4 linked regions of the Astyanax mexicanus genome follow. The protein of the gene in region 3 interacts with the protein of the main gene of each other region in a biochemical or structural test. Links are inferred from orthologs where the notes say so. Each region holds a gene or a part of one and is shown on either strand. Other genes may lie near its edges.

The links.
Region 1: the proteins of plcg1 (region 3) and pdgfrb form a complex in vitro, tested with the Homo sapiens proteins (3 studies listed by BioGRID and IntAct, with this or other methods). The link is inferred for Astyanax mexicanus from reciprocal best matches to the Homo sapiens genes PLCG1 and PDGFRB.
Region 2: the proteins of plcg1 (region 3) and gab1 form a complex in vitro, tested with the Homo sapiens proteins (2 studies listed by BioGRID and IntAct, with this or other methods). The link is inferred for Astyanax mexicanus from reciprocal best matches to the Homo sapiens genes PLCG1 and GAB1.
Region 4: the proteins of plcg1 (region 3) and fgfr2 form a complex in vitro, tested with the Homo sapiens proteins (2 studies listed by BioGRID and IntAct). The link is inferred for Astyanax mexicanus from reciprocal best matches to the Homo sapiens genes PLCG1 and FGFR2.

The regions. Positions count from the first base shown.
Region 1 is NC_064409.1:67,927,263-67,934,241, forward strand, and holds the start of pdgfrb (platelet-derived growth factor receptor beta), read right to left. Parts: upstream 3,001-6,979; 5' UTR 2,934-3,000; intron 1-2,933. UniProt on the Homo sapiens protein: Tyrosine-protein kinase that acts as a cell-surface receptor for homodimeric PDGFB and PDGFD and for heterodimers formed by PDGFA and PDGFB, and plays an essential role in the regulation of embryonic development, cell proliferation, survival, differentiation, chemotaxis and migration.
Region 2 is NC_064414.1:48,871,746-48,879,693, forward strand, and holds the start of gab1 (GRB2-associated-binding protein 1), read left to right. Parts: upstream 1-4,948; 5' UTR 4,949-5,447; intron 5,448-6,803; 5' UTR 6,804-6,864; coding exon 6,865-6,936; intron 6,937-7,948. UniProt on the Homo sapiens protein: Adapter protein that plays a role in intracellular signaling cascades triggered by activated receptor-type kinases. Plays a role in FGFR1 signaling. Probably involved in signaling by the epidermal growth factor receptor (EGFR) and the insulin receptor (INSR).
Region 3 is NC_064420.1:49,213,368-49,220,420, forward strand, and holds the start of plcg1 (1-phosphatidylinositol 4,5-bisphosphate phosphodiesterase gamma-1), read right to left. Parts: upstream 3,011-7,053; 5' UTR 2,700-3,010; intron 1-2,699. UniProt on the Homo sapiens protein: Mediates the production of the second messenger molecules diacylglycerol (DAG) and inositol 1,4,5-trisphosphate (IP3). Plays an important role in the regulation of intracellular signaling cascades.
Region 4 is NC_064414.1:11,917,070-11,924,950, forward strand, and holds the start of fgfr2 (fibroblast growth factor receptor 2), read left to right. Parts: upstream 1-4,875; 5' UTR 4,876-5,599; intron 5,600-7,881. UniProt on the Homo sapiens protein: Tyrosine-protein kinase that acts as a cell-surface receptor for fibroblast growth factors and plays an essential role in the regulation of cell proliferation, differentiation, migration and apoptosis, and in the regulation of embryonic development.

The sequences.
Region 1 (6,979 bases), on a different chromosome or scaffold from region 3:
GAAGCCAGACGGCACCCCAGGGTGCCGCGGCACCCTGGTTGAGAAACACTGAACTAGAGAATTAAGCTTTGGATTAATGCAGGAATCTTTAGGAGTAAAAGTTATCTTTTAGTTATCTTTAAAGAAAGCCTCTCAAGATCCCAAATAAATTTGTAATACATATGGATATGTATTATAAAAAATAAAATATGGATAACTGTGTAATTTTACGTCTTTATGTATTAAAACAAGCTCTTGTTGATATTAAAAAAAGAAGAAAAGAATTTGAAAAATATTTGAAAGATGTTGGCAATATACCTGTTTTATTTTAAATGTTTCGAATCTTGTAAAAAAAAACGATTATGTTAATGTAATATGTTTGTTTTACTTTTAATTTTATTATTGTATGAAACAAAAGATGTGTTGAAGAAACATGACTGAAAAACTTTGTATGTGCTGTTTTTTGTGAAATGCTTTTGAAAAACTTCAATAAAATTTATATAAAATAAATAAAAGTTATAAATGTTGTTTTGATTCCAAAAGACATAAGAATAAACTGAGAAATATCTTACTGTTTCTTTCAAATTGTCCATATCTTGCCAAAAAACATGGTTTGCTTGATTAAAATTTGAATTATAATTTGATTATTTGATTAAACATTTTTGCCATTTTACACATTTACTCCTTTATAATAGCCGGGTCCCAACGCCATAAAAACTTCATAAAAACTGTCCCAATATGAACGGATGCAACTGATGTATCTGTCATGGAGCTTACTCAGAATTCTCTCTAAATGTACAATGTGAAAAATAATAACATCACATAAAAATGCTTAAAATTTATTTAAAATGTTTTCAAAAACTGTTTTTACCATTCTAATTTATTTTAATAAATAAAAAAGTACATATGTTTCTTGACGCAGTGCCACCGTGTGACGTCTGAGCATAACGTCAACGCAAAGCTTAATTAGACTGTTCTTTATGTGTGATGGATAGGCTGTTAAGAAGTAGCCTAAGAACACAGAATACAGATACACTGTATTGTGTAAAAATGTACTTAAGTTAAGATTTAAATCCAGAAATACTACATGGACATTGACTCCCCACACACATATAAATGGATATACATGTTTACATGCTTATGTACAAGCGCATATAGATACAAATATACATATACTGTACATAATTATACCTGATTACTTTATCTTACCTATCAAACAGTTTAGCCACACCCATTCACACTGAAAACGTTAAAACAAAAGTTTTTGGACTTTAGCTTTTAGCAAAAACAGCCAGTTTGTTTCTAAACAAACAATGATAGGATGAAAAAATAACCATATACAAATGAATTAGAATTTTCTTTGACACACATGGACATTGCTTTATTTCTATATTTTAAATATCCATATCTTTATTTTTTTTTTACTTTTTGACTATTTTAATTGGTCAGTTCTTTATTGTATCAAACTTACATGATAATTGGTCCAATAAAAAATTCTCAAATCCATACACACATGCAAAAAGTCATGGGACAGCAGTATGTAAATTAATCATGAAGTGTTATCTCTGTGAACGTTTTGGGAATGCCCAAACTCAGGCTGAACTCTAGAGGGATGGGACATTCCATTTCCTTTATCCACATTGTCATGTGTACAGGGTATACAGTACCAGTGAAAAGTTTAGAGACTCTGTCACATTCAATGTTTTTTCTTTATTTCTTTATTTAATTTATTTTCTACTTTGTAGATTAATATTAAAGACATGAGAATTAGTAATGAAGTTAAGGGACACATGTAGAATTACATAGTATACAGTTTAAAAAAAAAGTGTTTGATCTAATCCCAACTGACATGGTGATTTGCTTTGAGCTGGAGCTTCACAGCGTGAAGGAAAAGCAGCAACTATTGTGCAGCACCTTCAGGAACTCCTTCAATTTCATTGGCTCTGTACTTGCACACTGCACAATGACAATAAAGTTGAATCTAATCTAAGTTGAATCTAAAAAGACACCAAAATACTGAGAGTGTGCAGATCTGTCCTCAAAGATAATTCAATATAGCGCTTTTTACAACAAAGGTTGTCACAAAGCCGCTTTACAGAGAAAAACAGGTCCACGCCTCTTATGAGCAGCACCACAGAGATGCTATTTTTTATGGTGACCTGTGGCAAGGAAAAACTCCTTTTAAGAGGAAGAAATCTTGGAAGGAACCAAGACGCAGTCAGAGGAACCCATCCTACTCGGGTTGACCCGCTCAGTACAAACAGATAACAAACAAATAACAGAACATAAATGTGCTACATAAAATAATTTTAAGTATAAAACATATTCTGGTTTGTTTAAAACTTTTTTTTCTTTCTACAAAAATAATTTTACATTGTTTTTGTATAACTTTAATATAGTCTTCAATATTATATTTACAATGTGAAAAAAAATCATAAAAAGAAAGAAAACACATTGAAGAAAAAGAGGTGTATACAAACATTTGATTGGTACTGCTCATCATTAAAGGCTTTGACAGTGCAGCGCTCTTTAGCTTTCATGGGACATGGCAAAAGTCAAGGGACACAATACTGAAAGTTTCGTTGAAACTATTATATACAGTCTGGAACTTCAGTCCTTAAGAACATTCCCCAAAACATCTCTGTGTTTGTCTGGAGATCTTTTGTAAGTTGTTTTTGTTTCAAAAGCTTTCATGTGAGCTCTTGTTTATTTTACTCAGATGTCTACTAAGGGGTCCAGTTACTGATAGCAGCCCCAGCTCAGACCAACTCACCCCAACTCACCCCAACCTGAGCTGTAACACTGCCCACCACTTCAACATCTAACGACCAAGAACAACAAAGAGGAGGAGGGCAGACCAGGACAGAGCGAGACACCGGGGGAACAGAGGGAAAGAGAGAGAAAAACAGACAGAGCAGAAAAACAGAGGAGGGTGAAGATCTAAAGATCTGTACCAGAGTCTTCCTCGCTCTACTCAGATCATCTGCTGTGATGAGTCCTTCAGTGAGGAGGGTCTGTTACGGTGGAAATCCAGAAAACAAGTAAAGTAAAGATGGCAGACAGTCTCACACACACACACACACACACACAGGTCTCCTCAGCAACAGCCCTGGTTTTGTGTTTCTTTCACTGAAATCACGAGTGGCAGGGAAACAGAGCAAATCCTCCCTGGAAACTGGCAGCTCCTAAAGTGAGCAGAGAAAGAAAGCAAGGAACAGAGAGAAAAAGAGAGAGAGAAAGAGAGAGAGAGAAAAGTAAAAAGCAAAAGCTGAAAGGACTCTCAGGGCAGAAGATGGGGGGATAGGGGGCTCTGGAGGAGAGAAGGTGTATCAGCTGTGGTGCTCAGTGAGAAGGGGGCTACAGGAGTGTGAGCATACACTCCTACACACACACACACACACGTGTACACACACACGCACACACAGAACCATGGTCTGTTTTCACTCTTGGCTGTTTTCCTGCCTGCATGGTCTGTCATTCACTTTTCTATTTCTTCTTGTCTCTCGCTTAATCTCTTTCTCTTTCTTTCCTTTCTGACACTCTTTCACTCCCTCTCATTTCTTACTCTTGCTTACCTTCGCTCTCTTTCTCTTTCTTTCCTCTCTAAAACTATTTCTCTTTACAGTTCTCATCCTCAGTTTACCACACCTTGATCTCTTTCTTTGTTTCCCTTCTTTCTTTCTTTCTCTCTCATTCTCTTTTTTAACCTCTCTCTATTTTTGTCTTTTCTTCTATCTCACAAATCTGTCTCCTTATCTTTCTTTTCGCTCTGCTATTTCTCTCTGACCCTCTCATCTCTCTCTCTATTTCTATTTTTTCTTCTTTCCTTTTGTTTCGTTTCTTGCCATCATTCATTTCCATCTCATTTACTGGATGTTTTTCTCTATTTTTTTTTTCTCTTTCTTACTGTATATTTACTCTTTGACACTATTTATTCTTTTTTTCTTTCTTTCTTTCTGTCTCCTCTCTCTAGATCTTTACTGACTCATTTACTTTCTACCTCCTCTCTCTTTCCAACTTTTTTTTCTTTCTGTCATATTATTACTCATTCCTTTCAGTTCTCTCTAATCTCTTTTCTCACTTGATTCTACTCTTTATTTCCTCTCAGCCTTTGTTTTTCATTCTTTCTCTTTCGTTACCTCTTTTCTCGCTCACTTGATCTCATTCTTATTCTCACCTTTTCTTCTTTTTTGCACTCTTTCGCCTCTTTTCACAATATCTCTCTCTCTTTCTCGCTCTCTCTTTTCCTGTCTCTCTCTCTCTCTTTCAAGGAAGTCAGCAGAGTGGGCTGGAAATTCATAAGAGCTTCCAGCAGCTGAGTAAGGACTTTTCTCTTTATTGGAAAGACAAAAACAGAGTGTGCGAGTGAGCGAGTGAGAGAGAGAGAGAGAGTAAGAGAGAGAGAGAGAGAAAAGCTGGCACACTCACTCCTCTAATTGTGTGAGTGAATGCGAGGGCCCGTGAAGAACAGACAGTAATTATAAAAGACTGTGGTACCCAGCAGAACAGAGCCGTCACATCTCATAAACACACTCCCTGAATCTCAACACTGATGTAGCTCTTTGATTTTAACCCTTTAATCACTGCTACACTTCACTCTTCTGTTTACTGCAATCTGAGGACTGAACCGCAGTGTGCAGAAACACACCGTGCTGTACTCGAGCCAACAGCTGATTAAAGAGCTCTGAAAACATCCAGCGTGAAGTCGGCTCAACACAGGGCTAGTTCTCAGGCAGAGTTTTCATTACTAGGGGTAACTACACACTTAGCCCTTATAGCCTGGCCTGCCCTCCAAGCACAATGTCTCTTAGCACACACACACACACACACACACACACACTGTGCCCTGAACCCATTTATTAAAATAGTCACTCTTTTGGCAGAATCTTAAGCACTTTTTACCTGGTTAGACACAACTTGCAAACATATTTTCACCCACTAAAACACATTTTGCACTGTGATGCACTTGGGCACAACATAATGGTAAGCAAAAGTGAAACTCAGTGAAAGCACAGGTGTCTCAACTTAAACATAGCAACTCAAAATTGATCACACTTGTGTCTAAGGATAGAAGGCATCATTATAATCCAGGACAAGAAGCTCTGGTCACTGATGTTTCACTATGGACAGAAACCATCAGAAAGGCAGGGTAAGAGATGAAGAGGAGGTAGAACAATTATTTCAGATAAAATTTGGGCAACTGTCAGCATGTTCTAGTCCACGGTTTGACAATGAGGGAAACGGGACTTTGACTTCAGCCCAATATAAGCAGATTCACAGTGTCCATCATAATCCGAAGATTTAGACAGGAGAACAGGTAAATGTTTGCATTATGATTCAATACAAATGTGATTTATTACATTAATTTCCCAATAAACTTGTAGGACTAGTAGTGCATGTACGTTTTTTGTAACTGCATGTTTTTTTTTGTACTAGAAGTGCTAAACAGGAGTTTCACTTTGCTACCTGTGCTCACAATTATGCAGCCCAAGGGCATCACAGTGCAAAATGTGTTTTAGTGAGTGAAAATATGTTTGCAAGTTGTGTCTAACTACATGAAAAGTGCTCAAGGTTCTGCCAAAAGAGTGAACATTTAAATAAATGGGTTCAGGGCAAAGAGCATTTGCTTTAGACAACAGGGTTTAGTGTTTTAGCAATTGAAAAAAAACTGTAACTATATGTGGCCATATTTTAAACACTGGGAACTTGAAAAATCCTTTATTAACAGGCTATTGTGGTAGGTGTAAAGCTGGTTACGATAAATCTAAACTTTTACCAGAAAATGTAATTTTAGCTTTTTAGCGGGTACTCTCACTTCCCAGTTCAACATTAAAACCAAAATGTTAAAAACAAAACTTCACAGCATTCTGAGAACTGAAAACCACATTGCACCTGTGAATACTCTTTGCCCAGGGGAATGCCAGATCTGTTTTCAACGTGTGTTCTTGTGTATTTTTGCAACCGTGTGTTCTTATCATTTTCCTCTGTTTAAGCTGCTTTCTAATACTCAAGACAATAATGACCAAGAATAGTTCAAGTTCCCGGATGTGTTCTTAATCTTCCACAAAACTGATTTGCCAAACAAAACAAACTGAAATAAAAAGTATTTACTGTATTTACACTAATGATGAAAAGATGTTCAGACAAACAATCAATAGTTATTAAGCCCTTGTATTGTAAATACAATAAAATAGCAAGTACACAGCATTTCATTAATGTACACTTATTGCAAAGTTTTACCAACGTTCTGCCCAAGAACACAAGCTAGTTCTTTGTGTTCTTGGCATTGAAAGACACCCCAGGTTCTTATCCATTGCCTGCAGGTCCCTGTCTGGCCACTAGGGGTGGGCGATATGGCCCTAAAATAATATCATTATATTTCATGTTATTTTCACGATATCGATACTCTTGGCAATATGATAAAACACTGAAATATTATTGCATACGATATGATCTGACACAACACTAACTGAAATATTGAAAAAATACAAGAATTTTAATCGATTTGTAACAGAAGTCAATGATCCAGAATGTCACAATACTAATAATGCTCTCCAAATATCTTAATACACTGCTCAAAAAAATAAAGGGAACACTCAAATAACACAATATAACTCCAAGTAAAGTCAATTTCACCTGCTGTTGTGCAAATGGAATAGACAACAGGTGGAAATTATTGGCAATTAGCAAGACACATTCAATAAAGGAGTGGTTCTGCAGGTGGGGACCACAGACCACTTCTCAGAACCTATGCTGTCTGGCTGATGTTTTGGTCAGTTTTGAATGTTGGTGGTGCTTTCACACTCGTGGTAGCATGAGACGGACTCTACAACCCACACAAGTGGCTCAGGTAGTGCAGCTCATCCAGGATGGCACATCAATGCGAGCTGTGGCAAGAAGGTTTGCTGTGTCTGTCAGCGTAGTGTCCAGAGACTGGAGGCGCTACCAGGGGACAGGCCAGTACACCAGGAGACGTGGAGGAGGCCGTAGGAGGGCAACA
Region 2 (7,948 bases), on a different chromosome or scaffold from region 3:
CGGCGTGCAGTGTCGCTGCCTCGAGGCTCGGGCCTGGAACTTCCCCATTCGCTCTAAATAGAAGCTGAGTGCTCTGAAGGTGCATTTCTTAATGGAGATGCTCATATGTATAATGCACCGAAGCCAGTCTTGTGGTTTTTAAAGGGAGGGGTGGGCATCGTTTTAGCTCTTAAATCCACCCCCAAAAGCCCATTAGCTTTGCAACGTGTGCTGTGGAGTAGCGCCACTCGCGCTGCCTCCAAGACCATTTGGTAAAATCAATGGCTTTCAATTATTCAGCAACCGAGAACCAAGCGTTTTCTCACAGCCATTTCACAAGGACACATCAACACTCTGGCCCACTCCCACTAACCTACATTAATCCAGCCGAGGGAGAAAGTAGGAGGTGGTGAGAAATCTGAAGCTGTTTCTGTGCCTCCTCCCTTTTTGGGCCTGTTATAATAACAGACATCTGCTATTGGCTTCATTACATTACATTACTTTACATTACATTAAATTAAGCGGGTGCTTTTGTCCAAAGTGACTTACAATAATGATGTAAATTAGCAATAGAGAACATAGAAGTTCAAGGTAAAAATATTTTTTGACAATAGTAAGATAGAGAAGGAAAGGCGAGGAAAAAGGAAATGAGGTTAGTAGTAGTGTGTTAGAGGTGTTAGGAGAGTAAGTGCTCTTTGAAGAGCTCAGTCTTCAGGAGTTTATTGAAGATAGTGAGAGATTCTCCTGATCTGGTAGTAGAAGGTAGTTAGTTAGAGGTGTTAGGAGAGTAAGTGCTCTTTGAAGAGCTCTGTCTTCAGGAGTTTATTAAAGATAGTGAGGGATGCTCTGGAAGGCTTGTAAGCATTGCATTGCAATTCAGATGAGTGTTGAGCACTAATAATCAGATAGTTTAATATGCATTAAATTTAAAGCAGTAGTATTACTGCATTGGAAATAAGCATCCAATGATTAATCAGTATAATCAACAATCTAATTGTATGTAAAATTGTATATATATATATATATATATATATATATATATATATATATATATATATATATATATATATATATTTATATACTGGGATAACTTATACAGTTTACACTCTACTTGTGTTGTGTCTCCAAAAGTGCAAAAACTCAACTGATCAAATAGTCACTCAGTAAATATCAGTATATTTATATATATATATATATATATGTATATATATATATATATATATATATATATATATATATATATATATATATACATATATATACATATACTGGGATAACTTATACAGTTTACACTCTACTTGTGTTGTGTCTCCAAAAGTGCACAAACTCAACTGATCACATAGTCACTCAGTAAATATCAGTACTTTTCGAATTTTAACATCTTCTAGGTATTTAAAAGGCATGTACTGTATATCCTACATTGAGCTGTTTCCTTTATTTTAAAGTGAAGGAAGCAAAGGAAGTCTTCGCATTTTGACATCTGCATTAAACATGCTCTTTTTCATGCTCTGTGCCATTACTCATTCTCACCAGAGAGGTAAAACAAAAACTTACAGAATGTCACTTTAAATGTGAGTCTGCAGCAGAACAGTTGTACACTAAACTGTACACTAACTAAGAGTAATGAGGACAAAATAACATAGCCCTTCATAATATGCAGCTAATGCCCTGCCAGTCTTAGTGCGCAGCACTAGCAGTTTGAGATTGGCTGCTCTTTCCTGCGTACGCGTCCCTGCATGCCGTATAAAATGCCACTGGATTTAATGCGTCCCTCATAAATGTTTTAATCTTTCGCAGAAGCTTGAACCCCCGGACCTTTCCCTCAGAAATGGACTCAGCAAAGCAAAGGCTCTAATTCAATCTCTCTCCTGTGAGTTTAGGATCTGTCTGTAGCTTGTTTTGTATCAAAAACAACTCTTAAAAGACCTATATCAGAAAAAATGAGATTTACCTCATTTTTTAAAAGTAAAAGATTGATGCAATTTGTAAAAACATATATATTTTTTTGCTTATTTCAAAGTGCATTCAAGCTGGGCTTATTCCCTGTTCATTTTATGCCTTATAAAGTATCTAGAGAGAAATTAGAGCAACTAGAGTTAGTGTTATATTACATTATTATAAAGCTGTGTTTAGTTTGGTTGATTTCAATAATCTATTCAAAAACGACCCCACCAATCCGCAACACACAGAGCCTCCACTACCAGACTCTGCAACAGCTTCTTCCACCAGGCAGTCAGACTCCTCAACACACACAGCCTCCACTACCAGACTCTGCAACAGCTTCTTCCACCAGGCAGTCAGACTACTCAACACACAGAGACTCCACTACTAGACTCTGCAACAGCTGCATCCACCAGGCAGTCAGACTCCTCAACACACAGAGCCTCCACTACCAGAGTCTACAACAGCTTCTTCCACCAGGCAGCCAGACTCCTCAACACACAGAGCCTCCTTTACCAGAGTCTACAACAGCTTCTTCCACTAGGCGGTCAGACTCCTCAACACACAGAGCCTCCACTACCAGACTCTGCAACAGCTTCATCCACCAGGCAGTCAGACTCCTCAACACAAAGAGCCTCCACTACCAGACTCTGCAACAGCTTCATCCACCAGGCGGTCAGACTTCTCAACACACAGAGTCTCCACTACCAGACTCTGCAACAGCTTCATCCACCAGGCAGTCAGACTCCTCAACACACAGAGCCTCCACTACCAGACTCTGCAACAGCTTCATCTACCAGGCAGTCAGACTCCTCAACTCACAGAGACGGAGCTGAACCCCTCAGCCCCCACAACCCCCCACTACCACACACCCAACACTCTCGACACTCTTCACACACACTCTCTTAGCACACAGAGACCGAAATGTCTCTATCCTTATCTGCAATATTTGTTGCTTCATTCTATAGAAAAGTATAAACTCTCTACCTAATTTTAATTTTGTTACACTGTGTAATGACAATAAACGTATATTGATTTGAATTGAAAAACAAGAAAACAGGAAAATATTGATGAATATTGCATGTGTAGAACTGGTTCCAGTAGACAGTGTAAACTTATGTTATTTGCACTGCTAATGTCATTAACTAAAGCCTATCTGCTGAATCTGCAAACAGAGCAGACTTGGTCACACTTTCTTCAACGAAAGACATGTAAATGTAACTAAATTAAGTGTGCAAATCCTCTACTCTAGTTCTAACACAGTCTACCACATGATGAATAGCTAATCTGCACTGAAAGATTCGTAAACACAAAGGGATCTGCTGAGCAATGCTCCTCAGCTCAGAGCTTCAGAGAGCGGCCTGCTTTCCTGGAGCTGTGTGTGTGTGTGTGTGTGTGTGTGAGCAGGCAGGCCTTTGTTAGTGGAGCTGATTGGAGAAGGCGTTTCCCATTACAACAGCATTCCTGCCATACCAGTCTCTCTGACTGAGGGAAGAGAGAGCTGGAGGGAAAACACTGGAAGAGACTGTGCAGCACAGGATCAGGAACACGTTATACACAATTGACTCTAAAATTAGCACAGTTATGTATTTCAGTACTCTGTATAGTGTATATGGATATAAAAGCATGCATAGCATAGTGGATTTAGTGTTTTGTGTTTCAAGATTCAGTGTTTATTTGTTATTTGCACAATATGTCAGGACATACATGCATTGTTTGCTTGTGGTGAGGCTTAGGGTAACTACTCTGCAGCAGGCTTACACAAATAAACAGGAGTAAACATACTAAATAAAACAGGAAATGTAGTAAATATACACAAAATATTCATAAACATATACAGAAGGAGGAAGGTCCTATGAAAAAAAGGTCAAAAGTTTTAGAACACCCCTATTGTTCTCTTCTCCTCACTGCTGAAACTGAGACTTAGTCCAATATTAAGCTGTGTTAAAGGCGCGGTTGCCATGTGGGTCAGCTAGACCTGACTCTTACTGTACCCATTTTCTCCAGTTTCTCCAGGAGTCTTTTAAAGGTGTCTTTTAAAGGTGTAGGAAACAGTATTCACCGCTCTCTGGCTTCATCTGTAAATTCTCTAAATAAAGACTTCTACTTTTTATAGTTACAGAGTTCTATGTGTATCTGTGTCTTTTTCTAGTTTTTATAAAAAAAGAGTGAATGTGCATTTTAAATGCTGCAGAAAAGAGAGCAGTAAACCATATATTGAAAATTACAGTATTGACTATAATAATACCATCAACTATAAATAAAAATATCTCACTTAATACAAAAAGTGCAAGCATATACACACAATAATTTACAAATCGACAAATATACACATATCAATGTATACAACAAAAGAGAAAAAGTGTAAAAATACTGGAGATAGAAAATGTGCATTTTTCCTCCCTACACTATACAAATAGATTGGACATAGGAATCTGAGTGGACAAAAACTAAAGATTTTCTATCAAAACACAAATATATGAATGTTTTTTTTTGTTAGAGTGAATTAGTGTGAACTACTGTCCCTCTTAGCATTTGTCTTCACACAAAACACCTAATATATCTTAAACATCCACACATATAGTAAGTTAGTAGATTTAATAATATTAGACGTAAACGTTAACTTTTATAAATATAGCCATTAAAATATTAATAATAAATAATGCAAATTTTAAAAAATCAATTTACCTACTAGGATTCATGTACAAGATGGATTCTGGTAAGTGTAGTTTACACGGGAATGATGAAAACGCTTCTCAAAAATCACCTGGTTTTAATATTTTTTTCAGTTCTTTTTTCGTCAGTGATTGTTGCATTGTTATCTAAAGATAAATAAATATAAAATAACGTTTCACATTTTTTGTTTAGTTGAGTTAAAACGTGTATTGTACTGCGTGTATTGTGTATTGTCTATCGCTTAAAGACTACATTTCCCATGGTGCATTGCTTCCCTTCTCTCTCTCTCTCTCCCTGTCTCGCTCTCTCTCTCTCTCTCTCTCTCGCGCGCTCGTTCGCTCGTTCGCTCGCGCTCTCGCTGGAGTTCGAGGCGAGTTTAGGGGAAAAGTATCGGCGGTTATCGGCTGTCAGTCACCCGGGAGCGGAGCGGGGAGGGAAAACACGACGGAAAAGGAGGATTTTCTGCTCAAACTGCGGACGGAGAGAGTCTGGGCGGCTGAAATGTGCTGGAGAAGAGAGGAAAAGCGGCGGGAATGTGTGGAAATGTGTAGTTTTTAAGAGAGAAAGAGAGGGAGAGCTGGAACAGCCCGGGAGAGCTGGAACAGCCCGGGAGAAGTTGCTGGATTAAGCAGGCGGAGGAGTGTTCGTGTGTTTGGAGGCGAAAAGTGCGGATTTTTCTCGGTAATTAAGCCTGGAGTTTATTTCCACGCGTATGTTCTGGATTTATTCTGTGTTTTAACGCGGATTTGAGTCTTCCCAGCGAGAGGAAGGAGTTGGTAGCTGAGAGTTTTGGCTGTTGTGGCTGAGCTGCTGGAGGAGGAGGAGACGCTGGGAGAAGCTCAGCACTGACGGTATTTTCTGCCCTGTTTTTCTCTCTTATTCCCCTCTAAACTTTCTACACTGCTTATAAACCACGAGGATATCGTTTATTAGGTGTTACTAGGTCCGTTTTTTGACCATATGACCAGAAAAAATAAACAAACTACCTATGTTTATGTTGTTTGAGACTGTACAACTTTATAAGCTATGCAGCTAATTTCCATTTTTCTAGCTAGCTAGGTTAGCTAACTTAGTTTGGTAAAGAGAAGAAATTGGGTTAAAGGTGTACTGATGTGAAAATTCTGGGATACCGATACCCGATATCACACATCGATACGTTCCTAAAATAATCGCCTCATAAACTAATTTTAATTCAGTTTAAGTTATTCAGCTAACACTAAAGCCAAGAGACCTTTTTCATCAGTTGTTATGACTATTTAAAAATGAGCAGTAACGTTAGAATCAACCATAAACAATCATATAGTCCTATATATACAGCTCTGGGGGGGGAAAAGCAAGAGACCACTTAAAAATATTGAATTTCTTTAATTTTACCCCATTGAGAACACATTTTGGTCACAAGCCATCAAACCCAGCTGAACTGCTTGACTTTTTGGACCAGGAGTAAAGGCATAAAGTTATCCAAAAGCAGTGTGTAAGACTGATTGAGGAGAACACGCCAAGATGCATAAAAAAACTGTAATTAAAAACAGGCTTATTCCAACAAATATTTATTTCTAAACTCTTAATTTTATAAATATCAACTTGTTTTCTTTGCATATTTCTTTTGCATTATAATTTATGTTTATTCGTAAGAAGTAAATTTCAGTGAAGGTAGCTCCATCTTGGAAAGCTATTAAAATTGCAACAATATGTCACATTTTGCTTAGGCATACACTTCTGACATTATCCTAAAGGGGTAGAATCAAATGGTTTGATCAACTGAGGTGATGAAATGTAAAAAAAATGAATAAATACAAATTAGCTTAAATTAATGGATTTTAGTTTGTAGTAGTGCAGTCAGGTTCACTTGGTCTTTTTCCGGCATACAGTAATACTGATATAATTCTTATATCATTGTGCATCCCTAATGTTCATTCATTTTAAAGTTTTTGCTATGTGTACCCCAATAACTATGATATCATGATACTGTGACTATTGTCTGCGTTGCAGTCCCCAACCTCCCAGCTACAGTATAATCCAGACATTTGTACACAATGGAAAAAAAAATCAGAAGAAGAATTTCTTCTTCACTATACTAAATGAACAAAAAAAATACATTTTACACACAATTTCCTATTTTCTAGGGAATCTCATATGATCAGGAAATTGAACTGATAAACATTACACTGACCCTTCACCCACCACTGTGTTTCTCCTTTTTTCAGCTCAATCTGCGTCCCAGATCTCTTCGAGGGACAGAAAGGGGAAGCTTTCTGCAGCAACAAAATGAGTGGGGGGGATGTGGTGTGCTCCGGCTGGCTCAGAAAGTCTCCACCAGAGAAGAAGTTACGGCGTTATGTAAGTAAATCTCAGTTTTATTCAAATGTGCTGTGGTCTGTGGGGGCTGACCACAAAGCCAGTACCCATGCAAATAACCTGCTTTCTAACAGCTAGAGCAGATAAAGCCTGCTCTTTCGTGAAAACGAGCTCAACCAGCTACCTGAGAGGGGAAATTAGTGAATCTGGCACCAGGTTAACTTCTGCTACATTCCCCTAAACCTGTCCTGGGTGTGTGCTGACATGTTTACTTGTCAATATTTTAGCTAGATGTTTCAGTATTTTTTTTTTTAGCATGTGCTGCTGTTTTCTCCTCCCTCACTCACTCACAACACTCACAGCATCCAAACACACAATTAGTGTGACACTAAAGTCTATATTTCGTGCAGTCATGCCTTCATTTCTACCCACACCTCCTCCTCATGTAGGCTAGACTCTCTGTTTGTGGTAAAAGCTGGTGTATTTGTCTTATTCTTGCTTTAAAAGAGCACATTTGACTTGTAGAGTGCCCCTGATATATCCAGGTAGAAAAAACAAAAAAACAAAAAAAAAAACCTTACTTTAAAAATCTGGTCTCTCAGATTAAGAATCCGTTCCATCGGTTTAGCAATCCATTCCTTCGGTTTAGCAATCTATTCCCTCAATTTTATAATCTGTTCCTTTGGTTTAGCAATCTGTTTCTTCGGTTTAACAATCTATTCCCTTAATTTTAAAATCTGTTCCTTCAATTTAGCAATCTGTTTCTTCGGTTTAACAATCTATTCCCTTAATTTTAAAATATGTTCCTTTAATTTAGGCATCCACTCCTTCGGTTTAGCAATCTGTTTCTTCGGTTTAGCAACCTATTCCCCCAATTTTATAATCTGTTCCTTCAATTTAGCAATCCATTCCTTCAGTTTAGCAATCTGTTCTTTTGGGTTTAGCAATATGTTCCTTCGGTTTAGCAAACTGTTCCTTCGGTTTAGCAAATCGATCCTTCTGTTTAGCAATTTGTTTAATAAGTTTAGCAATCTATTCCCTTAATTTTATAATC
Region 3 (7,053 bases):
ATTATAGGTAGAATAGGTCTACATTAAGGCATATATACTTAGTGCTACCTGCAATATATTAAATATATTAACTGTGTGGCTAATAGTCCCGATATACTAGTCAATTTGATTACTGTATTTAAGTCTATAACAAATGCAGTTTGAGTCTTCAAAATATTGGCCGAGTGTGGTTAATATAATAGATATAGACTGATAGACTCAATTTGATTATTACTCTTGTATTACTGTATTCAAATATAATAATAAAATACAGTTTACAGTCTTCAAAAGATAAGCAGAGTGAGGCTAATAGTATAGAAATGGACCAACATTAAACCTTGATTATTGCCCTTGTATTGTTGTATTTACCTGGGAAATATACATAAAAACAAAGTTAAAGGTCTTCAATGATCATCATGTAACCTATATTAGTAAAAAATAGTCAGATTTATGGCCATAATATCTACAAAAGTCTACATTTAAACATACATAGCTAGTGCTCACTGCAATATACTGAATATATAGAATATTGTGTGGCAGATAACCTAGTTAACCTAAGCTGTATTAGCTAGCAAAATCGTTTAAATACGACATGTAGAAGATTAAACCCTGCTTAACCATAATCTGGCACAGCCTGTATACTCGTTTAATATATTTACCTATAATCTGTATAATAGGATAAACTACATTTTAACATAGTTAATCTAGTTTATCTGTGAGAGTAGGGCTCACAGGCTGTGCATTTGAAGCAGATTTCAGTGTATCTATGCTAAGCTAACGACTCAAATGATTCCATCTCTGAGTGGATAACGCTACCAGCGTTTAGAAACAGATTAAACCAAATTTAATCTTAAATAACCAAAGTAAATGAGGAAATTAAAGGGTATTAAATTGTATCTGACACATTTAAGATTTTAAGACTCAGTTTTAATCTTATTTTGATCTTTTTAGCTAAGGTGGTTTAGCTAACTTAACTAACGTTAGATTGACTGGTAATAAAAATGTAGTATAAGACTGTTTTATAACCTAGCTAATGCCAGCTATGAAACATAAAAATAAACCACATTAAATTGTATATATTCGTAGAAAAACAGATTAAAAGGGTGTTTAAAATGTGCCTGACATTAATTTATATTTGGGTTAATTAGCTGTTAGTTAACCTAACTAACTTTAACTAGCTAAGCTTAAGTACTGTTGTTTGATAACCTAGCTATAAAACACATAAGAATTAAACTGGATTAAAACTTTATGTATTCGTAAATAACCCAATTAAAAGGGTACTAAAATGTGCCTGAGACGTTTAAGATATTTTTGCTAGTTTAACCTAGCTAAGCTTGTTTAGTTAACATAGTTAGAGTACTGGAGATAAAAAAAATAACCTGTCATTTTAATATGTAATTTTATAACCTGAAGCAGATAAAAAATAAACCGAATTAAACCTTGTGTTTTTCTGTAAATAACTGAATTATAAGGGTGTTTTAAAATGTGGCTTAACTTTTAACCCAATCGCTAGATATCCAACTAGCTAAACTAGAGTAATGGTAATTAAAAAAGCTAAAACTGTTGTTTTATAACCTAGCTTGCTATGAAGCAGACAAAAACAAACCGGATTAAATTAAAAGTATTTGTAAATAAACACATTAAAAGGGTGTAATAAATATGCTTGACAGGTAACGTTAACTTATAAAATTTTCTTGGGTTCATTTTTTTACCTAGCTACGCCAGTTTAGTTAACCTAACTAGGAGTAATGGTGATTAACAAAGACTTGTTTTAAAACACCTAGCTAACTAGAACTATGAAGCAGAAAGAAAATAAACCGGATTAAACCTTGTGTATTCGTAAATAACGAATAAAAAGAGTGATAAAAAGGTGTTAAAAATTAGCCTGTCACGTTTAAGATTTTTTCTGGATTATTTTTTTACCTAGTTTGCTATGCTAAGCTAGTTTAGTTAAGCTAACTAGAGTACAGGTGCTAAAAAAGGTAAGTTAACTGACTATGAAACAGATATAAAAATAAAATAAACCGGAATAAACCTTTGTGTACTCGTAAATAACATTTTAATTAAAATGGTATTAAAATAGGCCTGACACGTTTCAAATAGGTTTGGGTTAATTTTTTGGCTAATTTAACTAGTTGTAAGTTAACCTAAAACTAGCTAATCTTGAATACTGTTGATAAAGGTAAGACTGTTGCTTTATAACCTACATAGGTTGGCTATAAAGCAGATAAAAATGAACCGGATTAAATATAAAAAATAAAAAAAGCGAATTAAAGGGTGTTTAAAATGTGCCTGACACGTTTAATATATTTTTGGTTTATTTTTAACCTAGCTAAGCTAGTTTAGTTAACGTTAACGTTAGAGTAGCTATTGATGATAGAAAGGTAGGTTAAGCTAATACTGTTGTTTTATAACCTAACGCTAGCTAGGTTAGCAATGAAGCAGATTGAAATAAAAACGGATTGAATATTGTTTATTCGTAAATAACCGAATTAAAAGGGTGTTAAAATGTGCCTGACAGGTTTAAGATATTTTGGATTCTTTTTTTCAGTACTGGTGATAAAAAGCTAGTTAGCTTAAGGAGAGTGTATGTTGTGTTTTTTTTTTATATCCTAGCTATGGAGAAATGGATACAAATGAAACCGGATTAAAACAGTCAGCTAAAACCGTTTCATATTTTTTGGATAGTAAAAAAAAAAAACACTAATTCGCTTTCTTACCGTTTAAAAACGCAACCGTATCGCGGGGGCACGAGGACGAACGACAAGCACGAAGATAGACCGCAATCTCAGCCCCGCACATCTCGGTGTGGAGGGACGGAGGTGGAGGGATCAGCAGCGGCGGCGGTTCAGATCATCCTGCGCCGGCCTAGAGGCGTCTTAGTCCCGCTGTAAGTATCCCAGGGTTTGGCGTGCGGTGGAGCTCCCAGTGTCCGGGCTGCAGGGTCTCCCACACGGCGGCAGCAGGCAAGCAGGCAGGCGGCTGCGGCCCTTCCCCCATCCGACCCGCTTCTGCACAACAAAAGCGCAGGGAGAGGAGCCCGGCCTCTTAAAGACACAGCCCCAGAATAAAGCTCAGCAAACCCCAGTCCCAGTGGAAATCTGATATATACCAACACAACATTATGACCACCTCCTTTTTTCTCATTTATAAACCCATTATTTATTATTTCAACTCCACTGAGCATAAAGGACACTTTTACTGTAACGTTAGTCCTAAAATTAGGATACATACTGTAGTTCTGTAATATTTTATTATTTTTTATTTTATCTTATAATTTATTAAATTAACGTTAAAATCAGTACTATCAGTGTCCTGACTTGACCATCGCTCCAACACAATACGTCTATACTAAAAACAGAGTAGTCAGAGTTGTTTTAGTATTAATAACAGTAATTAATACAAAAAAAACACTACAAACATAGCAAATAAGCAAAATAATGACTGAAAAAGGCATTATAGTTATAATTATTACGTTTTTTATATAATTACATAAAAAAGTAAATTAACTTTTGCTTTTTACATTATTTGTAACGTTACTATTTTATAATATGGCTCGTTTACATAAGAGGACTATAAGCACTGCTGTTTTATACGCAGAATCCGACATTTTTACACAATATGATATATAAGGAAGTATTAGTGAACAATAAATGATATGTAGAGATTTATAATTCAGCATATTTCTAGACTTATACAGGATTTATATTGCTTTTGCAATCTTTCCTTTTATACATCAAATACTATTTCACTATTTCATAAATGAACAAAATAAATCAATGTTATATCCAAAGTATGGTATTATATAAGTATTAAAAGGCATACTTTATTATCATCCTCCTTTTACCCTGTTCTTATTCTTCAATCAGGTCAGAAAAGCAGGGCTGCTGGAGTTTTTAAACACTGGGTTCACCCACTGATATATGTATAAAGTAGTAGAGCGCAAAGGTTTGATAAGTATTCCCATTTTTTATTCAGGTAGAAGTAGGCCTGTCACAATAATTACATTATCGACTTATCGTTCAATAAATGGATTATTCAATCATTTTAATAATCGTGATATCGTCCATTGTGTTTGCACTCACAAAATGCACTTACATATATTGTGACTGTGATGGTGAATACCATGGCCCGGTAGTGCAGAAGCACAGAGAGACAGACACAGGGAGTGAATGAACTCCAAACGTACTTTAATTAGGAAAAATACCCTTCTTCAACACACAAAACAAACCTAAAGAAACATAATAACGGCCCAGCGTGGCTTAGTCGCTTAACCTTAGTGTCTCTTAGGTTTGTGTTGCCTCAGTAAGGTTCTTTATGCTGATCCAACGTGGGCCAGCTGGGACAGACCTGGGCTGCAATCACTTCACAATGTATATATATATTATAATGTTATATATATAATGTTTTTATATTATGTATCATTATATTAGTGCCATTTAATAGTCTGAAAATGCCAACAATATCGTTTATCGCAATAATTTGTGGGACAACATTTCTTTTGCAAAAAAATGTTATTGTGACAGGCCTAGGTAGAAGTATACTGTAGATACTAGGGTTTAAAATACTTCTTAAGGTTTTTAATCTATTAGTAATAGTACAAAAAGTACTGGTCAAAACGATTTAAAGTAAAAAGTAAAAATACCAGAGTGGTCTGGTAGGTTCGTTGGATGTACAAAAACATGAACAAAATGAATTCAAAAATATTATACTCAACACATTATATTATATGAGTATTAATAAGCTGTATTAACAGTACTCTTCCACATGTTCCATGCAATTACACACTCTCACCAGAGAGGGCTCCAAACCCCCAAAATTACAGACTGTCGCTTTAATAATCGTGTTTTTTCTGACTGCAGCCTGAAAGCAGATGTTCTCACAGTTCCTGAGCTGGTCTGCAGGTTTCTGCTCTGCAGCTCGTTTCTGCAGCAGTTCTCATGAGCAGTGACGACAAACCACAACCACAGAGGCACCACAGCATCTCGTCTGCACCCAGACTGTACGGAGCGGTGGCACAGAGGCGCCCGCCACCTTCACCTGCTCCACATTATACACAGCACCTCAGAGCAGCACAGAGACGAATAACAGGAGTGAAATATAAAACATTTTTAATGATACAAAATTAGTAATGGAATTGATACAAGCATATATAAATGTTTATATGCCTGTGAATGTGCAAAAGCCTGTGTCTAAAAAGAAGCCTGTTAAAAAAAAGCCTGTGCCTGGGCAGAAGCCTGAGATAAGACAGAAGCCTGTGAATGGGCAGAAGTCTGTGCTTGGAAGGAAGCCTGTGTCTGGCAGAGGCCTGTTAATGGGCAGAAGCCTGTCTTTGGGCAGAAGCCTGTGTCTGAAAAGAAGTCTGTGCCTGGGAAGAAGCCTGTATAAAAAGCCTGTGCCTGGGCATAAGCCTGAGATTAGACAGAAGCCTGTGAATGGGCAGAAGTCTATGCTTGAAAGGAAGTCTGTGTCTGGGCAGGGGCCTGTGCCTGGATAGAAGTATGTGCCTGGGCAGAAGCCTGTATAAAAAGCCTGTGCCTGGGCAAAAGCCTGAGATAAGACAGAAGCCTGTGAATGGGCAGAAGTCTGTGCTTGGAAGGAAATCTGTGCTTGGAAGGAAATCTGTGCTTGGAAGGAAGCCTGTGCCTGGGCAGAAGCCTGTGTCTGTGAATAGACAGAAGCCTGTGTATGGGCAGAAGCCTATGAATGGACAGAAGCCTGTGCCTGGACAGAAGCCTGTGTCTGTGAATAGACAGAAGCCTGTGTATGGCCAGAAGCCTATGAATGGACAGAAGACTGTGACTAGGCAGAAGCCTGTGCTTAGAAAGAAGCCTGTGAATGGGCAAACGTCTGTGCAGAAGCTTGAAAATGGGCAGAAGCCTGTGCTTGGAAGGAAGCCTGTGCCTCGGCAGAAGCCTGTGCCTGGGCAGAAGCCTGTGAGTGGGCAGAAGCATGTGCCTGGGCAGAAGCCTGTATAAAAAGCCTGTGCCTGGGCAGAAGCCTGAGATAAGACAGAAGCCTGTGAATGGGCAGAAGACTGTGACTAGGCAGAAGCCTGTGCTTAGAAAGAAGCCTGTGCCTGGGCAGAAGCCTGTGAGTGGGCAGAAGCCTGTGGTTGCTGGTTAGTATTGTTGGTAGGTATAGGTATATAGGCTTGTTGTAGAGAGCTTTGGACAGAGTGCCATTACTGTGCAATACTGGTACCCCCAGAGCATCTCTTAGCCAATCACATGGTATAATATATATTTGGTTGGTTTCTAGGTTCTGTTGTAAAACTCTTCATACCAATACAATCTGATTAAATGTAATAAAAGCCTCTACATGAGCTAAGTTCTTCTGACTGACAGGATGTTGCGTTAAAATTAGCCAGTTGTCTGATGCCTACTTTTCATGTTGGTGTTTTGGGGATTTACGTTACACAAGTACTCTTTTAATAAAAGATCAGAAATCTAATCTAATACTGGCTCTGAGTCACATGGGGAGTTTACCTTCAGTCTGAAGTTTAAAATAATAATGAGGGAAATTTTACAGAGAATTAACAGATGATGTTATGACATCTATGTGTTTTTTTATTCGTTAACAATTGAAGATTTAGACCTATATGAGCAGTTTGCTAACTTGTAAAAATGTGCTGCTGGCTAGCTACAGGCTTAATTAATGCTAGTGATGGGGGCATAGTGTTGGTCATGCAAAGAAATGGCTATTTTACACCTCTAAAAGTTCAAAGTAGCTCCACAATTCAGTTGTAGAATTTTAAAAGATCCTGACGTTTACCTTCGGATAGCCATCTTGAAATTAAGTCACAAGTTGAATGATGAGCACAAACAAATAGATAGCATAGAGGAACAAATTGCAAAATTAATTCAGTTGAAGAAATAGCCATTGTAAGCCTGTTGGGAGCATCAGATAAAAGCCCTGTTATCATGTTATCACTACAACTCAAGTCCATTTCACACCAGATTTCCCCTTCAACACATCATGATATGACTGTCTATCTGTGAAACATGGTGGCGGGTGTTACATGATACGTTACGAGATGTCCCATTTCAGTAAACACACACACAGTGAAGGTTG
Region 4 (7,881 bases), on a different chromosome or scaffold from region 3:
CTGCTCATAACATCTTTTTTTTTCACCTTTTCATAAGCCATTTTTTCTTTATATTGACCAGTGTGATTCATGGTAATTCTGCCATGAAATCCAGCAAAAAAACTGATGCTGGTGTTTGACAGGTATTCGTTTAACGTGAAGGTCAGTGGACAACCTGTGAGGAGTCTTTATATTTATTTTCTTGCACAGTTGTGCATCGGGGTCTCCCACTGCATTTTTTTTTCCTTGTTAGAGCCAACTTTTACTACTTTTGAAAGGGATAAGTTACAGTATCAGCATAGTAAGATAGAGTAGTCTCAGTTTCTTTGCAAGCAAGCAACTGCTTTAGACACTTTAGATACTAAACTAACCTACAATGTTGTGCTTTCTTTTATGCTCCCTTATTAGTATAGCGTTTTTTTCTGGTTGTGAAACAAATGTGACCTTACCTTGCAGGCAATAACTATTCAAGCGTGTAAAACAGACATGCTCTTTGCTTCACTATTTATTGTGAATGATTGTTAAACTATTCAAATTTGCTATTAAATGTCTTTATTGATATTCTGTAGTACTGGTATTTGTGAGGTCCAGAAGGGTATTGCATTTCAATATTCCAGCCACAATCAGGAGAGCGGTGATCCACAGACAGAGACATAACCTGTCTCAGTTTCTACTCTCTGCAGGCCTTTGTGGCTCCCCTACAGAGCTCCTGCAGAGTCTGAGCCTGGGAAGACTAGCATGAAACCAGTGTAAATCAGGTTTGGACAGGCAACCAGGACGCTCCTGAAAGGCCCGTCCCCATCCCTTTTTTTTTTTTTTCACGCCCTCTAAACCTGTAGCTCTCCTCTCTTTTCACTCCCCACACCCTCCAACTCCCGTCCAAGCTGTCACCTTTTCTACTGAGTCTCTGATGGCTTTACTGGGCCGGGAAGGGGGAGAAAATGGAGGGGGGAGAAAAAGAAAATGAATGAAAGAGAGAGAGAGGGAGAGAGCGAGTGAGAACGGAGATGGACGGCTCCATTGACACAGCAGCCTCTCACTTTCTTTAACAGCCTTATTAGCCGTCCCTTACCAAGTGAAAGAGGACGTTTCTTTTCTGCAGGCTGAAAAAAGAAAAAGCAGGCAGGCTTTCTTAAAGGGGGAGAAGAAAAAGAAGAAGAAGAAGAAGAGAAAATAAGAGGTGAAAGCATATTAGCCACTGCTCCCTCCTCTCCCAAACCCACTACGTTTTTTTAGTAAAAAATTTTTTTGGAGGGGAAAGGGTGAGGGGTTTGTGGTGGGAGGGGGGTGGTCCTTGAAAAGGCCCTGTCCAATGGAAGAGACAGCTTGGAAAGAGAGAGAGCGAGAAAGAGAGAGAGAGAGAGAGAGAGAGAGAGAGAGAGAGAGAGAGAGAGAGAGAGAGCGCAGTAGGGGGGCCCCCTCTGTCTCTGACGTTTAGAGATCATTAATCAATCTGCCCCCACCTCAGCGTTAAAGCTTGGAGATAAGACCCCATGAAGAAACCCACAAGGCGCTGCACGTAGAGACTGTATGCTCTATGGAACATAAAATAAACTCATTCCAATCTTGGAGCAGATTTGGGCAAATGCATTGTATCCCCTTTTTTTGGCATTTTTCACTTAAGAACAAATAAAAATGATCCAAACTGAGTTTTACTCATATAGTACTATATACAGTACCAGTCTAAAATTTGGATAAATCTTATCATTCAATGTTTTACTTTTTACTTTTAATGTAGAAACTTAAAAGTATTAAACAAACCAAAATACTTTAGGTGCTCTTATCTGGGATGATGTTAAGTTACAGTTTCTGAGACTGATAACTCTGATGAACTTATCCTGTGCAACAGAAGTAACTCTTGCTTTTCCATTACAGGAGTGGTTCTGATGAGAGCCAGTTTCATCATAACGTTTTTGATGGTCTTTGTGACTGCACTTAATGATACTTTTACAGTAGTTAAGAAGTTCTTGCCATAATATGGATTAGAACGTTACTCAAATAGAGCTATTCACTGTATACCAACTCTACCTCTTTACAACTTCACAACTGATATACAGTATATTAGTCAATGGTTTCTCAGTCTTTCTTGGTTTCTCAATCTATTCCACTGACAGTAAAAACTATTTTTTTTTGCTTTTCTAAAGAACATTCTTTCTTCATTTGCAAGGTTCCCGCAACTCTGGTTAAAATTAAACAACACAATTTTAAGCGTGATTTCAACCCCAATTTCCAGTAGTGGTGAGTCTGTGCTAGTAGTCTCTAGTTTGTAGACTCTGGTATAGTGGGAGCTGACAGTTGGACTGTAAGTTGTGTAGTGTATGCCGGGCTGAGACTTTTAGTGCTGATTTTTAGTGTCAAAATCACATCGGACTTCAGTCTGACCAAAATCAAACATTTAATTTTCCAACCCGATTTTGGGAAAATGGCAAAAACAAAAAGCTTACAATAATTTAAAAGTTGCCATGAAGAAAGATGTTAAATTTACCCAGGTTTAATCTCTGCACACGTCAGCTACAAGTAACAAGAGAGATAATAGTAGACAGTACTATTGGTTCAGTTTGGGTCTGTTTTGCTGCTTTTTAAAAGAGTTTAAATGACCGACATTATGCATTAAGCAAACTGTGCATTTATTATATAGCTATAGTTTGATCACAAATGATCTCTCTATATATTTTTACTTACTTGGCCATTTTTTCACTTTGAACATTATAAAGTGCCATTACCAGCTCCCTGCAACCGATGCCTTCCCCTGAGGTTCAGAACCCCTGTGTTCCAGCCAGTCTTGTTTCAGCATGGCTGTCATGATTATTCTCAGTGACAGGCCCGTTGCAACAAGGCAAGCAAACAAATCTATTGCCTAGGGCCCCGAGCTGGCCTGGGGCCCCCAGATAACAACTGGTTGTGAATTAAATGCAAGGCAAACTATGTGAGCACCCCTTTAAATTCTGTGATGGTCAATGCAGGAAAGTAAAACAACACTGTTATTAGAATCCCCCTCAATGGAGCCCCTCCCACTAATTGCTGACAGTAGCCAGTCAGCCGTGCTTGTGATTCTTGCAGCTAGCAAAATATGAAACTTCAGTGATTATGAAGTGGAGTTATCCATCAAAAAAAGAGAAAGAGAAAACAAGCCATGTGATAAGAAAATAAGTGTTAAGTGATATTTAACACTGGATCAATGAGGCCCACACATACAAATGTTGTAAGGTAGATTAGCAACACAATATATGGATGATGTTTATGTTACCTACCAGCCTGGCAGTCAATGCTAGTAATGAACTAGAACAGCCAGTGCAACAAGTTAGTTGAAAGGGCTGATAATATGGTTACATACTGTAATGTTATATTAACAGGATAATGAAAATCTGTTTTAGATTCACTGTTTATAGTATAACATGACATTGCAATAAACATTACAATAGTTAAAGGAAAACTCCAGTGTAAAATTGACTTTTGGTGTAGTAAAACATGATAAAGCTCTTTGAAAGTTATTAATGCCTTGTTTTAAATGTCAGGGCTCTCCAGATTCTACCAATGAGGTGTGAAGCTACTATGAGCCTGGATAATGGTGTTAAAAGTGATTTATCTGCAGGGACAAAATATGCCCCATATCATTTATTCTAAAGCATGTTTGGACAAAGGAAATAAAATTACATGATCTCTGAAAGCTGCAAAAGAATAGAGGTGGCCTATTCAACAAAGGTTAGTACTCCTTATCACATTTTACTACACCAAAAGTCAATTTTACACCAGAGTTCTCCTTTAACTTTTTTAACATTTTAATCGTGATTACCTATCTACCAAATTTTGAGTTGTAATAACCTATGATAATTCTGTGCATCATATAACCAGACTGGAATAAGTTTAGTAGTATCCATACATGTCAGCTGTTCAATGCCTTCAAATTCTTAAACAGCAGAATGCTTAAACCTGTTCTAAAAGTAACATTAGAATGGGGTGTTTTTAAGTTGTATTTCTGCTAAGTGTAAACATCTGAAACTAATATTAACAGTTAATGTTCACATTTTTTTAAATATATTGGCTTTTACAGTTATTTTGCCCTTTTTTATACACTGCCTGGCCAAAAAAAAGTCACCACCCGGATTTAATTAAATGATGTGAGGTTGCTGCAGTTGGTCAGGTCTAGGTTCAGCAACAGTAGGTGCTGAAAGAATGAGGTCAGCTGACTACCTGAATATACTGAATATAGTCCCGGTTATTCCATCAATGGATTTTTAATTTCCTGATGGAACGGACATATTCCAAGATGCCATTTCCAGGATTCATGGTGCTGGAATTGTGAAAGAGTGATTCAGGGAGCATGAGATCATCATTTTCCCACATGGATTGAGAGAAAGTTCACCACAGAGTCCAGATCTTAACCTCACTGAGAATATTTGGGATGTGCTGGATGGAGAAGAGATGCTTTGTGCAGAGGTCAGACTCTACCATCCTCAATGCTGCTGCAAGATCTTGGTAAAAAATTAAAGCAACACTGGATTAAAATAAATCTTGTGACAGCTTGTGGAAAGCTTATTGGAACAATGCCACTCCAAATGCGTGCAGACTTTTAATTTGGTCAGGCAGTCTGTTAGTTGTTATGGGATAGAGGTGGGTTTACATGGTGGGGACCTGTTTTGCTTGGGGCCCCAAAATACTTTGAAACGGCGCAACTCAGTGAGCGAGCGGGGCTGCAGGTCCGAGCGCGCGCGGATGAGGGAGTCGCAGCAAAAATCAATGCGCGCGGTGTGCTCAGGCTGGCCAACAGGCGGCGTGCTTCTCGGGGAAAATAGTGCGTGTGGTGTGCTGCTGGTGCTGCTGCTCTGGGGGAGGGGTAGGTTCTCTCCCACTGGTGAAAAGTTCGAGTTTTTTTGCAGCAGCAGCAACAGGAGGAGGAGGAGGAGGTCTTCAGTGAGAGCAGAGCTGAGGGGTTTAGAGCAGAGCAGACCCGGGCAGAGCACCGCGGAGGAACCTCAGCTCAGCTCAGTGTCTGGACTCGCTCAGGACTGACTGGCGGAGGAGCGAGAAAAAACTGCAGTGAGGAAACGGATCGGGTTTCAGGGGGGAGTGACATTTCTTGAGGGGCTGGAGAGAAAGAGGGAGAGAGAGAAGGAGTGAGGGAGCTGCAAGAAGAAGGAGAAAAAGAAGAAGAGCCTGTAGCCTAAACCTGAGTGAGAAAAGCGTCTGAGAAAAGCAGCAGGAGACTGTCCGCGGACCGTGTCTAGCAGGATGTATACCCGGGCGAGGCGCTCCGTCTCCGGCTGCTAAAACTCCGCTTTACCCCCAGCCTTGGAGAACCGTGGGGGCTGTTGTTTTTTTTAGGAGGTGGAGGAAGACGAGAACGACTCTGCGGAGACGGACTTAACGGAGAAAGACAGAAAGTTCTGGGTGTTTATCGGTGTTTTACTGGAGTTTTACAGTGGATTTACTGGTTCGCTGCTGCTGGATACGGATCCGGGCTGGCAGTGATTTTGGAATAGTGAAGACTGGGCGATTCAGCGGAGTTTTTCTTATTTTTTTGAGGGGTTTGGAGCGGAGTTTGGATATATATCATCAGTCTGCCCATATGCCCCCGCCTGCCTGCGCTGTTTGTGCGGATCGGGATCCTCAAAACTTAGCGGTGAGTTTTCGGGCCGCAGAGTTATCGAGCAGCGCGCGGAGCGCAAACAGCGGCGGAGCCTGAGCGCCCGCGCGCCCGCATGTTTTTAGCGCAAGACGTGATTGAAACGTGGCTTGATGTGGACAACACGTCCCGGGCGCTCTGCCTGCCTGCTGTTTTAGTTAAGCCCAGCTACCCTAAACGTTTAATAAACGTTGATCGAATAAACGTTACAGTTTATATCTTTTAGTGTTAATGGAAATAAAATCAACATTTATCAACGTTTATTTAGCGAAAGGCTTTGAATAGTGCTATTAAGATAAACAAACGTTAAACAACCTGTTGACCCTAAATTATTGTTTAACATAATATGCCTGTTATGCATTTGTGTTCTCACTTTGACATCGAATCAACATTCATTTAGCGAAAAGCTTTCAATAGACGTTTTTTTTAGTTTTATTGCATTGTTTTTATTTTTAGTAATGTTTATAATGGAAATACAAACAGGTATTAAGTTATATAGTTAAAATCCTTTATTTTAACATTGAATCAACGTTTAATAGGCGAAAGGCTTTGAATGCTTGGGGAACTTTTACACTCACAACCCTGAAACAAAATGTGGGTTGTATTAAATCTACTTTAAGTGTTGACAATAAAAAGAAAAGCAAACTTTATCAAACATCAAATCAACGTTTATTTAGCGAACGGCTTTGAATAGTGAAATAAACTTTAAACAACCTCACTTTCGACATCGAATCAATGTTCATTTAACTTAAAAAGCTTAAAACAAAAAGCATTGAATACACTTTGATTTTTATGTGGGTTGTATTACGTGTTTTGATGTTTATGATAAAAAAGCAAAACAACCATTGTTTAACATTGAATCAATGTTTGTTTAGCTGAAGACTTAGGATAGTTGGGACACTTTTGCTCTCACACAACCCTGATAGCAAAAAAAAAAAATTGGGCTGCATGACATCTTATTTTAATATTGATGATACAAAGAAAAGCAACTTTTAGCTAAACAACCTTTATTTCACATCAAATCAACGTTTGTTTAGCTAAAGGCTTTGAATGGTCAGGACTACACTCACAGTGCTTACATGCGGCTAAAGGTGCACCTCACAAGTCATATCTATAATAATATTTATTATAATAGTAGGTTCATCATTATTATTATTATTTAAATGGCCCTCTCTGCACTGCAAGAGCAAAGAGTGTTAAAGTTGAATAAAAACAATGTTAAATCGATGTTGAATCAGAAAACGTTGTTTTTAGTGCATTAGAGGTTAACAAATAATAAAAGTTGATTCAAAAAGGGCGTTGTGTAGTTTGTGTTGGAATGTTTAGTAGCAATAATCTATAATCTTTTTCATTATGTTAAAAAGCAACTCTATTAAATTAAACAGAATTGAATGAATTTAGGTCAGAAAATAACAGTATAACCCAGTAAAACTTTGGTCAGACACAAGATTAAACATTATATTAGTGGGTGGAGACATTCATTCATCTCATTTAAACAGATTGCCCATTTACCGACACCTAAATGCATTGTTTGCATAAAAACAGGATCGTAAATCTGTGATTGTGAATGCACTGGCACTGAGTGATTGTAATGTGAAAGGGATGATGGTGATGAGCTTTAACGTCTTTAGATTATTTTCTTATAATTAAAAGCAGGAGAAAACTAGTCAATAGTTAGCTAGTGATTTAACGGCTTTGTTTTTTACGCAAATAAATTAAAAAGTACCTAAACTGTACATAAAAAAAAAAAAAGCAATGAGGGGTGTAGGGGTGGGTGATATGGCTCTAAAAAATAATCACAATACTTCAAAGCATTTTTGCAACAACAAATTTCAAGATTATACTACCTCAACACAAGAAATAATAAAGTTGTTAAAGTACATGCAGTAGAAATAAAAAAGTCTATACATTTTTATCTAATTGTAAACTTAGCAAGACACTTCTAATTTTGTATTAAATGATACCTAATAAAAATAAAGAAATCTACTACAAAGAAAGCCAATATAGTGCATGCATACAAACTGCAAACAAAAAATTTAAAGTAAATAGAATAAACTGCTTTCAAAATATCGCTATTATTTTTTTATCTTGTCAAAAATGGTTGTGATGTTATTGCATGTGATAAGATACAGTGAAATAAACTCACTGCATTTGCTAACTAATGTTGCCATGCAAAGAAATGCTAAATTTACGCAGATTTAATCTCTGCACACGTCAGCAACAGGTAATGAGAGAGATGATAATTAGCTATTAGTAGATATTAGTAGATAAAGAGCTTC